Linked DNA regions of Sus scrofa. The protein of the gene in region 1 interacts with the protein of each later gene in a pairwise test. Links are inferred from orthologs where the notes say so. Each region holds a gene or a part of one and is shown on either strand. Other genes may lie near its edges. The genes, in order: PPCDC, TXN2 and FOXR1.

Evidence for each region.
Region 2: the proteins of PPCDC (region 1) and TXN2 interact in binary tests that used the Homo sapiens proteins (3 or more experiments, as listed by UniProt). The two-hybrid records come from large-scale screens. The link is inferred for Sus scrofa from reciprocal best matches to the Homo sapiens genes PPCDC and TXN2.
Region 3: the proteins of PPCDC (region 1) and FOXR1 interact in binary tests that used the Homo sapiens proteins (3 or more experiments, as listed by UniProt). The two-hybrid records come from large-scale screens. The link is inferred for Sus scrofa from reciprocal best matches to the Homo sapiens genes PPCDC and FOXR1.

The regions. Positions count from the first base shown.
Region 1 is NC_010449.5:58,525,205-58,528,848, reverse strand, and holds the end of PPCDC (phosphopantothenoylcysteine decarboxylase), read left to right. Parts: exon of another isoform or gene 1-382; intron 383-2,202; coding exon 2,203-2,371; intron 2,372-2,791; coding exon 2,792-2,877; 3' UTR 2,878-3,342; downstream 3,343-3,644. UniProt on the Homo sapiens protein: Catalyzes the decarboxylation of the cysteine moiety of 4-phosphopantothenoylcysteine to form 4'-phosphopantotheine and this reaction forms part of the biosynthesis of coenzyme A.
Region 2 is NC_010447.5:11,263,337-11,267,563, forward strand, and holds the start of TXN2 (thioredoxin, mitochondrial), read left to right. Parts: upstream 1-1,302; 5' UTR 1,303-1,339; coding exon 1,340-1,378; intron 1,379-2,106; coding exon 2,107-2,369; intron 2,370-4,227.
Region 3 is NC_010451.4:46,207,409-46,211,651, forward strand, and holds the start of FOXR1 (forkhead box protein R1), read left to right. Parts: upstream 1-1,341; 5' UTR 1,342-1,675; coding exon 1,676-1,736; intron 1,737-4,243. UniProt on the Homo sapiens protein: Transcription factor which acts as both an activator and a repressor.

The DNA.
Region 1 (3,644 bases):
CTGGCAGGGCGGCTGGAGCAGGTCAGGCTCCCGGCCACTTTCATCTTCTTGGCTGAGTGTTGTGTGTAGCCAGCACCGTCTCACCAGATCTCCAGGCTTCCCACCGGCTGGCGAGCAGCCAGCTGATGTGACAAAGCACACTGACCTCCAGGAGCTAAGCCCCGGTCTGGCCAACTTTGTGAGGTCTCCTTCCTTCCTTCTGAAAGCTGTTTTCCTCTTTTCTTCAAAGCTCACCACTCCCTGAAATCTTTAGGGTTTCCCTCCTACTGAGTTGGCTGCGCAATGGATCATGTTCTCAAGATGAGCCCCGAGGCCCTTGGCCTCAAAGGTTGCATTTGAAGGCACAAATACTTCAAAGAACTGAAGAGCTTTTTTTTTTTTTTTTTTTTTTTTTTTGGCTTTTTAGTGCTGCACCCGCAGCATATGGAAGTTCCTAGGCTAAGGGTCGAATAGGAGCTGTAGCTGCTGGCCTATGCCATAACCGCAGCCACAGCAATGTGGGGTCCAAGCCACATCTGCTACCTACACCACAGCTCACAGCAACGCTGGATCCTTAACCCACTGAGCGAGGCCAGAAATCGAACCTGCGCCCTCATGGATGCTAGTCAGATTCGTTTCTGCTGAGACACGACGGGAACTCCAAAGAACTTCAAGTCTTATAAAGTTTAAACTATTGCCATCATGATCTGTGGCTCTGTCTTCTCTCAGAAGATATTTTTTCCTTATATAACCCCCAAAGACACTTGCCCTGCTTCCTCCCTCCTTCAGGTCTTCTTCCTTTCCAGTATCCAGAACTTGGGGTGCTATCAGGGCAGCGTGCTAGGCATGAACCTGTGCTCCCAATCTCTGGGCCCTGGGCCTGGGTGAGGTGCATCTGTCCTCTGGCCCTTCTTTGTTCTCAGTAATGCAGCAGATCCAGAAAGAGAAGGTGACTTTCCTGGGTCACCAGTCCAGCTGGGAGCTGGTCTTCTGACACGGATCCAGGGCTTCTCTTCACCCAAGTGGATTCCCAGGGGCAGAGCCTGAGGTGCTGCACACAACATTGGCCAAACAAGTGACTGTGGGAACTGATGCCTCCTTTCAGCCCTCCTACTGCTGGAAGGTTTGGAGGAGCTGTGGTTTGTCCAGGAAACGCTGAGCTTTGAGATGGGGTGGGAAAAGCTAGAGAGGTGGGGGGGCATGGAGATGTTGGGTTTGTGCTCTGGCTGGTGTGTTTTGCTTTGAGCGCCTTTAGAAACCCCAGCCCTGCCTCTGCCTCCCACACAGTCAAGGGGCTCTTCTAGGGATGCTCATGACTTCCACAGAAGCAGCAGGTGGCACGTGGCCAAGAGGAAGTGTGGACTGAAACTGTCCACTCATAGCCTGGTTGCCTCATTACGAGGACTGGGTGGGAAACAAACACTGGTGTCTGGGACGACGCAAGCAGCCAGATCCTGAGGCTGTGTGCTGTCCCACTTCCTTCCTGTCCTAGGAGAGGGCAAGGGCACTGAGAAGGACAGGCATTTTCTCTGGCCTGTTTGTGGCATTGTTGTCTGGACTCCCCCTCTTTTCCCAGACAGGATCCACTTCAGGGAAAGGGTGTGTCAGCCGCTATCTCCCTAAAGGGTCCACAGCCCAGGCAGAGGCACCTGGAGCAGTCAGAGCCCAGGGGAGCACATTCCTAGGGGACTCAGAGCTTATTTCTCCCCGAGACACCCCTATCCTTGTTATAATAACAGGAGCTACTATTTCTGGAGGCCATACTTTGTGCCAGGCCTTGTGCGAAGAGCTTTATAAGTGAGCACACACCCTCTGTCCTCATGACTGCTCGGTGAGGGGGCTTTTGCAGAGAGGAAGCTGAGACTCCTGGCGTGAAGGAACAAGTGTTCAAGTTCTCATGGCTAGTGACAGCAGATAGCGCAGCAAGATTTGAACCCAGGTCCACGTGATTGCAAAGCTCACGGCACTGAGGACTCTGTGAGCTGCTTCTGTCTGCAAGGGCCGGCTCTGGGGAAGACATTGCTTGGGCACAGGGAGCCTTGTTTGCACAGGAGGAGAGGTCTGCTTAGAAGTGGCTGGGTCATTGCCAGAGTTGGTAGAGCATCTCCTGTGTGTAGCCTGTGGGGAGGTGAGAGGACCAGGGGACATGGCCCCACCCCGAGGCTGAGACAGCTCCACAGACAGCAAACTGAGCCCACAGTCCCCCCACCCCCCTCTTCACAGACCTGTGTCATCCGGGCCTGGGACCGCAGCAAGCCCCTGCTCTTCTGCCCAGCAATGAACACTGCCATGTGGGAGCACCCCCTCACTGAGCAGCAGGTGTGCCAGCTCAAGGCCTTCGGCTATGTCGAGATCCCCTGTGTGGCCAAGAAGCTGGTCTGTGGAGACCAAGGTGGGTGTCTGGCCAGGCTCACAGCTCATTCCTACGGCCTGGGGCTGGGGCAGGGCTCAGCTTCAGATCCTAGTCTGCTGTGACCTCAGGTAAAACCCTTCTCCTTTGAGCTCGGCTTTCTCATCTGGGAAATGGAAATGGAAATTCTTCCTTGTCAGAGTTGTTAGGATTAAATGAGACAGTAAAATGCCTCGCATCTTCCCTGACATGCAGCCCACATAGTTCAGATGGCTACTGTAACCATTCCTGGGACTGTCCGGAGGGTTTCGTGGGAGGGACTGGATGGGTCTGGCTCAGCCCTGGTCCTGCCCTTCCCAGGCCTCGGGCTCTGGGTGGGGCACTGGGGAGCACTGGGTGGGGTGGGTGGGGAATGGTCCCCTGCCTCAGTCTGCAGGGTCACAGTAGAGCTCTGCTCCCCAGGTCTGGGGGCCATGGCTGAGGTGGGCACCATTGTGGACAAAGTGAAAGAAGTCCTCTTCCAGCACGGTGGCTTCCAGCAGAGTTGAACCCGGGATTCCGTCACACATGTCCCTCCGCACTCAGCATGTTTTCAGGCCAAGTTGGTGAAGAAGGTGGCCTTTGACAAAATGGGGTGAAGACTCCCTGCATTTGCTGAACAGGGATCTGACCTGACCCAGGTTAAACTAAACCAAAGGCCCAGGTCCCAACTTCTTTCAACCAGGAGCCACCTGCTTTCTGGAGTTCTTCTCCAGCTTTTCCTGGGATGGGCGCAGCAAGTCCGAGGAGCAAGCTGCGGTATTGTGCCTGTGCTTCGGGAAGGGGACTTAGGAGTGACTGAGAAATCTTGATCCTCCATGGCGCCCAGGAACTGCTTTTAGAAAGAGCCACGGCTGGTGATCCCCAGGCCTTTGGAGCTTCAGCTCTTTGGTGGGTACAGGGAAGCCTATGAATTGGCGGGACCATGCTGTGAGAGGAGTACTGAGAATAAAGAAAAGTGACTTTTGGGGAGACTCCGTTCTTCCTTTATGACTCCATCCTTCCTTTACAGCCTGTCCGGGGTTTTGGTGATTAGGGGCATCGCTAGTTGTGGCTGGGGAAGGGTCTGGGCTGGCAGCTGACCAGCACTTCCTAGTCCCCATGTCGTATGATGATTAAGGGCAAGGGCCTTTGCAGCCAGACAGCCCCTCGTCAGATCCCAGCTCTGCCACGTACTAGCTGTGGGACGTGGCTCAGGGCTCAACCTCTCTGACCCTCACTCTCCTCATCTGTATTATCCTACCTTCATGGAGTTGCTGAAAGGATTAAATGAGAT
Region 2 (4,227 bases), on another chromosome or scaffold:
GTATGAGTAGGTGTTCTACCGAGTGGACATAGAAAAAAGGCTTTCAAGTTAAGCAAAGGCAGGGAGGAGGGAGAAGCATTGATTTATTCATAGAACCATAAGAAGTTATGAGTGGTTGTAAGGTCTTAGAGCCAGATTTAATCCCTCAAACTGCCGACTCCCTTATCTTGTTCAACCAAGAGCAGCCTGTTCTGGAATGATGACTGCCCTAACTGCATTTTGTCTTTGCTAATCTTCAGTTCCCACCATATCATGGAACATTGTTACAACCCCTCACCTCTCCTCCTACCCCTCCCATGTAGCCTGATGCCAGCCCTGACACTGGTTACTTTAGCCACAAGCCTCTATAAAACCTATTCCCCCGCTAATACCAGGGAGCCTGTGCTTTCTCTCAGTGCTTCTGGCCATCTTCTGTTCAGTAAACCTACTTGAAGCCTCAACGCTCTGGACTCTCTGCCTCTATTTCTGCTCTGAAACCCCACAGCCCTTTCCTGCTCTAACATAGGTAAAGGGTGCAAGGGAGACAAGGGGTGGCTGTGAGACCAGCCTGAGACACACAAATGCCTAGACTCCTGTTGTCCATGACAGCGACAATGGGTGAGAAAGGAAGGCCCAGGCCCAGGTAGATTCAGGGATCATCACACTTTGCCTGGGGCCTCAGAGGCAGGCCCTCCAAGTATCACTACCAGTTGGCATCTTGTCTGGGCCCAGTTTCTCAGCAATCCCAAAGAGACAAGGGTGGAAGACAAGCTGAGCTTTTCATGTCACATTTTGGGAAACTGAAGTCCCCAAGGGCAGGAAGACTTGCTCGAAACCACGAAGTTATACAGTCACATATGACAAATACGAGTCAGCGTTCTCTGGACTCCCAACTGAAGTCTTTTGCTTCGAAGCGACATTAGGACAATGAGACAAAAGGGTGGACATGCTGGTCAGCAAGTGTTTGCAAACTCGAGGACCACGCCTCCCCACCGCCCTTCTCTCCGCCCCCCCCCCTCCCTGGCACTCCCGCCTCCTTCCCCTCCTCTTCCGGACCCTCCTCCGGAGCCCTCCGGCCTCTTCCTGTCCCTCCCCAATGATCCGCCCCTCTTCCGGTTCCTCCCCTAAGAGCCCGCCCATCTTCCGGTGTCTCTTTTCAAGAACGCTTCTCTTCCGGTCCCTAACGGAGGCTCCGCCCGTGCCTGCCCTCTAGTTGAGGACTTGCTCAGGTTGCCTTTCCCGGAAGTGACGCTAAGGCCCGCCCCTCAGGAAGTGACGACAGAAGTGCCCTTGACCGGTGGGGCGGGCCGTGCTGTGCGTCGCTTCGCTCTCGTTGCTGGGAGGTAGGGGCCCTGTGGGGATGGTTCGAAGTGGTATCGCGGCTGAGGCGCCTCTGCAGGCGCGTTCCCATGCAGGCCGATGGCCGAGCGGGCAGAAACCCTGGGTGGGAGGAACTTGCCATTCGGGGAGCCGGGGTTCCCAGTTCCTTCCACACACACGTCCCTTCTTTATTAATTCCCCCCCCACCTGCTCCCGTGTCACTTCGTTCCTATTTGAATTGTTGCTTGTCTTCTTTCCTGAACCTTTGACAACTCTCCTTTGTCTTTAATTTCCCATTAAAACTCCTTTTAAAAGAGTAATCGATAGAGTAAGGACTTTTCAGACTGTCGTGGGCTCTAGTGTCGACTCTCCTTTAATAATTGGGTTGCTTTGGATATGTCACAATTTGCTTGAGCTTCTAAGTCCTTATCTATAATATGAGCAGTAGTACAGTAGAAACTTCTTCATCGTTGATCTGGGAGGACTCTAATGCCTGTAAGATACCTATCTCTTAGCAGGTGCTCCATAAATATTGATTCCTTCCCCCCTTCCGTCTGTTGTAATTTCACCAATATCCTGCTTTTTGGGTTGTCGACCTAGTTTTCCCATCCTGGTTTTCGATTCCTTTTTCCCCTTGATTCTCATTCTTTACTCACTTTTCCTCCAGAAGTCTTATGTATTATTTCCCAACATTTTGTTTCTGGCCCTGCATCTTGAGCCCCCTGGTACTCCCACATACCTTTCTGATTTCTGGTGTGTTGACTTCCTGTTCTTTGCCCCTACTCTTCCTACCTCTTCCCTTCACAGATGGCTCAGCGTCTTCTCCTGAGGAGGTTCCTGGCCTCTGTAGTCTCCAGGAAGCCCTCTCATAGTCGGTGGGCACCCCTCGCTTCCAGAGCCCTGCAGACCCCACAGCTCAGCCTTAGTAACCTGACAGGAACACCCAGCCAAGCCCGGTCATTATACACTACCCAGGTCTGTACAACAACCTTTAACATCCAGGATGGACCTGACTTTCAAGACCGAGTTGTCAACAGTGAGACGCCAGTGGTTGTGGATTTCCATGCACAGTGAGTCCTGGGGGGGTCAGTAGAAGACTGGGTGTCACTTGTTCTGGTATTTATTGAGCACCTGCTATGTCTCAGTACTATGTTTGATGCTTCTCACATAGAGATCGGTGAGACCGAATCCCTTATCTCAAAGATTAGTGTAGTTTGGTAGGAAACCGACTAGTAGGAGTTCCCGTTGTGGCTCAGCAGGCTGAGAACCCAACTAGTATTCGTGAGGATGTGGGTTCGATCCCTGGCCTCGCTCAATGGGTTAATGGTCTGGTGTTGATGTGGCTGTGGTGTAGGCCGGCAGCTGTAGCTCCTATTTGACCCCTAGCCTGGGAACGTCCATATGCTGCAGGTGAGGCCCAAAAGAGAAAGGAAGAGGCAGACTAGTAAACAATCTTCAGTCTTCAGAACACTCCGTGGGTATTCCCATGGTGGTACAACGGCATTGGCAGCAGTTGTCTCTGCAGCTCCAGGCCACAGATTTGATCCCTAGCCCAGCGCATTGGGTTCAAGGATCCATCGTTGCCACAGTTGCGATGTAGGTCCCAATTGCAGCTCAGATCTGGATCTGATCCCTCCTGGGAACTCCATATGCCTTGGGGTGGCTGTAAAAGAAAAAAGAAAAAAAAGGAAGAAAAAAAAAGAAAGAAAAACTCCAAATAGTGCTGTGAAACAGTTATGTTCTGTATCTCACTGCCCAAGTGGCTCAGGTCATCTTTAGCTTGGACCAAAGCAGGAAAAATAAGGCTGTAGTATCATCTGGCTTTTGGTATATTACCAGTTCCTGACTCTGCAGATAATTGTGTTTAACATCTTGCCACCCAAGCGGAGAAGGGCTAGCAAAAAGTTGTCAGTTCCACTGATAAAAGTTAACAGTTGGGTGCCCAAGCGTGCACTGGATGGACAGGAGTTTCTTTCTGGTGCCCTGTGAGTTTGTTTAAAGGATATTTAAATGCCTATGGCATTCTGGTTGTCGGTCTGGCCTTTTTTTTTTTTTTTTCGGTTGTTATTGTTGTTGTTGGCCTTCTTCCTTTCCAGACCTTTGGAGCCTGGCTGGATGCCTGGTTCTAAAACTACTGGACAAACCTTTCAGAATAGGGCATCCTTGGATTTCCCGTGTGGCTTACGACAGAATGGGGCATCCTGAAATGGGAGCCTGAGTTAGAAGTTGGGAGACCTTGTGGGCAAACCACTGACAGATTCTTTTGCTTTCCTTCGCCTTCTTTCTCTGACTCACCATGCTGCCTTGGGCAGGCCATGTGATGACCTTATGCCTCCCTTTCTTCACGTGTGGTAGGAGCTAAGGTCTTGCAGACGGGGCTTTTAGGTGTTGTGAGTTCATTAATTGAAATCTCTGAATGCAGAGGGTCTTCAAAGCTGAGAATAAATTAGGAGTCACAGGGAGTTCCCGTTGTGGTGCATTGGAAATGAATCCGACTAGTATCCATGAGTTGGATCCATGGCCTTGCCAGTGGGTTGGGGATCTGCCATTGCTGTGAGCTGTGGTGTAGGTCAGAGATGCAGCTCAGATCCTGAGTTGCTGTGGCTGTGGTGTAGGCTGGCAGCTACAGCTCTGATTTTACCCCTAGCCTGGGAACCTCCATATGCTGCAGGTGCAGCCCTAAAAAGCAAAAAAAAAAAAAAAAATTAGGAGTCATCAGGCAGGGGTTGGTGGAAGGCAGAGCTGTCCTGCCCTCCTGGTCTGCTGAGCACATTGGAGAGAGCTTCCCAAATGAATGATTTGGGGTGGGGGAGGAGACACATGCCTCATCTTCCCCAGCAAGGAAGCAGGGGTGAGTTTGTTGATTCAGTGCCAGGCACTGTCCTTAGTGCCACACACTTAAGGATGACAGCCTAGGCTCATTACCTA
Region 3 (4,243 bases), on another chromosome or scaffold:
AAAACTTTCCTTAAAATCACACATGCACCCTCATGTTCATTGCAGCTCTATTCACAATAGCCAAGACAAGGAAACAACCCAAATGTTCACTGACAGATGATTGGATTAGGAAGATATGGTGTGTATATATACACAATGGAATATTAGCCATAAAAAAGAACAAAATAATGCCACTTGCAGCAACATGGATGGAACTAGAGACTCTCATACTTAGTGAAGTAAGTCGGAAAGAGAAAGACAAATACCATATGATATTACTTATATCTGGTATCTAATATCCAACACAAAAGAACCGTTCCACAGAAAAGAAAATCATGGACTTGGAGAAGAGACTTGTGGTTGCCTGGGGGGAAGGGGAGGGAGTGGAATCAATTGGGAGCTGGGGGTTAATGGATGCAAACAATTGCTTTTGGAATGGATTAACAATGAGATCCTGCTGTGTACCACTGAGAACTATGTCTAGTTACTTATGATGGAGCATGATAATGTGAGAAAAAATACATATACATGTATGTGTAACTGGGTCCCCATGCTGTACAGTGGGAAAAAAATTGTATTGGGGCAATAACAATAAAATAATAATAAATAAATAAATAAATAAAAATGGAAAAAAAAAGAATCATAAATGGATGCTCGAATTAGTGGGTCCAAACTTGATGAGAAACAGGATTTCCTTGTTTTTAGGAAATATTCATTGAAGTATTTATGGGTAAAGGGACATGAGGTCTGCAAATTACTCTCAAGTAGTTCAGAAAAAAATAACATACCTCTTACACAGAGAGAACAACAAAAATGTGACAAAAAAACATTAATAATAATTGGTGTAATTGGTGACCTACCGGATTTAGGTATACTGGAATTTTTTTTCCCCACCTCTGGGGTGCACACAGGGCATGTGGAAATTCCCCAGGAGTGGGGTGGGTAGCAAATATGAGCTGCAGCTGCGACCTATGCAACAGCTGCTAGGGCATATAGAGTGGATATGGAATCCAGGACAGAGAAAACTCCAGATCCTCAACCTGGTGCACCACAGTGGGAACTCCCTTTAAAAAAAAAATACTGGCATTTTTTATAGTAATCTTGGGGCTTTTCTGTAAATTTGAAATTAAAAACAAGATTTTAAAATCACCATCCCAAAATCACATCAAGTCAAATCATAAAAATCACCCTTTAATCCTATCTCCACCCTGTACTAACAGATGCGATTGTGGATAAACCATGAAATCTTCCGAACTCCTAGAAAGTAGCTTTTCATACCACTGCGGGTTCATTCTTAAATGACAGACTGATTTACTAAATTAAATAAGGGCTTGGAGCAAATGTAGACTGGGCAGAGGGCCTGGGATACCTCCCTTCCGGACCCCCAAACTGCCCAAACCCCCCTTTGAAAGCGTGCGGGGTTGCGGAAAGACGTGGCGTGGAGCACTCAGCAGAGGCCCGGGATCAAGGGTGTCAGATGGGGACTCTGCACACCTGAGCGGGCTCCAACCTAACTCCATCCCAGAGCGCGGGGATTTGAGGAAGTGCCTCCCAGGCCTCAGCCTCAGTCTCTCCCGACTCGCGCCCACCCTGTGGCTGGCTCTCCCTCCTCTCTCTAAACGTGGACCTGAAACTCCAGCACCTCGACTTCTGGGCCAGCCTCCATGGCCAGGTCCCAGGATTGTTGGACTGGGACATGGGGAACGAGTCCTTTCTGGCCTTCACCACGACTCACCTGCCCTTAGCGGAACAGAACCGTAAGTGTCTGGGCTCGGGCCGTGGGGGAGGGGCGCGCCGCGGTGGGTCGGGGGCTCGTGGGAGCGGATTCCTCGGCCTTTGACCTTCTCGCCGACCCCCCAGCCCCGTGATGAGGTCGCCTTTTGGGGCCCCGCGCCCCCTTTGCTGAGCCCAGGAGCCCCCTCCACCCCGCCCCCATTTTTTCCAAGTGGCTATGGGGTCTCCGCCTCGACCGAAAGCCCACGGAGGGCAGGGGTCCTGCCTGAAAACGACCTTTAAACCTTACCACCACCCCCTTTCCGGCTCCGTCCCAGAACCTTCTAGGCCTCTTGCCTTTTCCCCGTGGCACCTACGCCATTTGGACCCGTCGCGTATTTCGCTCATTTGTCTCTTCAAAAATTTTCTTCTGTTAATTTTGTTCATCGCTGTATCCCACTTCTTAATACATGTCTGACACCTTGAGGTGCTCAGTATTTGCTGAATGGGTAGTTGACTGTTGTCTGTAAAAATACCTATTTTTTCCTTTGGTCTCAAGTGTTGAGAGTTGAGGTAATCACCTCCCACTTTCCTGGTACATGATTGCCTCTGTTCCAGCAAAGTGCTTGGATTAATTTATTTTCCTCCTTCAATCCACCCTTTTTGCTGCCTCCCACACACTCAAGTATCTACCCTAATCCATTTAATGTCCTTAGATAGGTGTATCTTTGAAAACTGTTTAGCATTTTGTTGTTTATAGGTGACCTTAATTTACATAATGCTCATTGGTTTTTTTTCCCTATTCACATTGTTTTTGAGAGTAATTTGAGTTGCTTAATGGAGATCTGGTTCATCATTTCTGACTGCTGTGTAGTATTCTATCATCTGCATTTACTACCTTTTGCATATATATATATATATATATATATATATTTTTTTTTTTTTTTTGGCTTGTTAGGGCCACACCAGAGGCATATGGAGGTTCCCAGGCTAGGGGTCCAATCAGAGGAGCTACAGCTGCAGACCTACACCACAGCCACAGCAATGCCAAATCCTTAAGCCACTGAGCACAGCCAGGGATTGAACCCTCAACCTTGTGGTTCCTAGTCGGATTCATTTCCACTGCACCATGATGGGAGCTCCACCTTTGCATTTTAATTCACCTTCCTAATGGAGACAAAACTCCATTGGAACTCTTTGCCATCATAAGTAATGACATTCCTTTGTCTTCACTGATTAAAAGAAATATTTATTGAGTACCTCCAATTTATCAGGCAGTGTTCTGGATACTCACATGATCCATAATGAACAAAACAGACAGGTCTTCATGGAGCTGATATTCTACTGGGGCCAAACAGACAATCCACATTAAAATATTTATATAGTATGTTATAAGATGATAGCTGAGATGGGTTGTTGTTTTTTAAAGGACTCTGTAAGAGGTCTCTGGAATCAGGGTGAGGAAGTGGTAGAAGCTACAGTTTTAAATAGGGTCATCAAGCTGGTCTGATTTGGGAAAAAAATATTTGAAAAGAGTTGAAGGAGGTGAGGTAGTGAGCCAGGAGGATACTTAGAGGAAAAGACTCTATTGCAGAAGAAATAGCCTGTGTAAAAGCCCTCAGGAAGGAATATGCCTGGAAGTGTTTATGGAACCGGTTAACAGGCCAGTGAGGCCGGAATCAAAGCAAATAAAGACAGAGTTCCCATCGTGGCTCAGTGGTAACCAACCCAACTAGTATCCATGAGGACGCCAGTTCAATCCGTTCAGTTGCTGAGAGCTGTGATGTAGGCCGGCAGCTGCATCTCTGGTTTGACCCCTAGCCTGGGAACCCCATAAGCCGCAGGTGTGGGTCTTAAAAAAAAAAAAAAAAGTAAATAAAGAGGAGAGTTCAGACTCGTGAGGCGTGGAGCAGAGATCAGGAAGAGACCTCTTCCACTCTGGGGGCACTGGGATTGACCTTAAGTAAGATTCTGAATGGCGAAAAGGTTTGGAGCGGAGGAATGAGTGTGTGATAGGATGCCTAACTTGGTTTAATCTTCTGCTATCACTAATAATCTTAAAATCATTAAGATTATAATTCCCACTGTGGTGCAGTGGGTTAAAAATCTGCAGCTGCTCAGGTCATAGCTGTGGCTCGATGGCCTAGGAACTTCCATATGCCACAGGTGCAGCCATAAAATATATATATATATACTTTAATAATTTTTGAACAAGGAGCCCCACACTTTCATTTTGCACTGGGCCCTACAAATTATGCAGATTGGACCACTAGGGTGGTGGCAGAGGATATGGTAAGAAGGTAGAACCAGCTGGATTTGTTTGATGGATTGGATGTGTGGTTTAAGAAAAAGAGATTAGAGGATGACTCCTTCAGAGTTTTTGGCTGATCAAGTGGAAGGATGGAGTTGGACTGAGATGGGGGAAGCTTCTGGTAGAATGGTTGAGGGAGGAAAATCAGGAATTCTGTTCTGGACATGCTCAGTTTGAGATACTTTTGTTTTGTTATGGCTAAGGCACATGGAAGTTCCTGGGCCAGGAACTGGACCCATG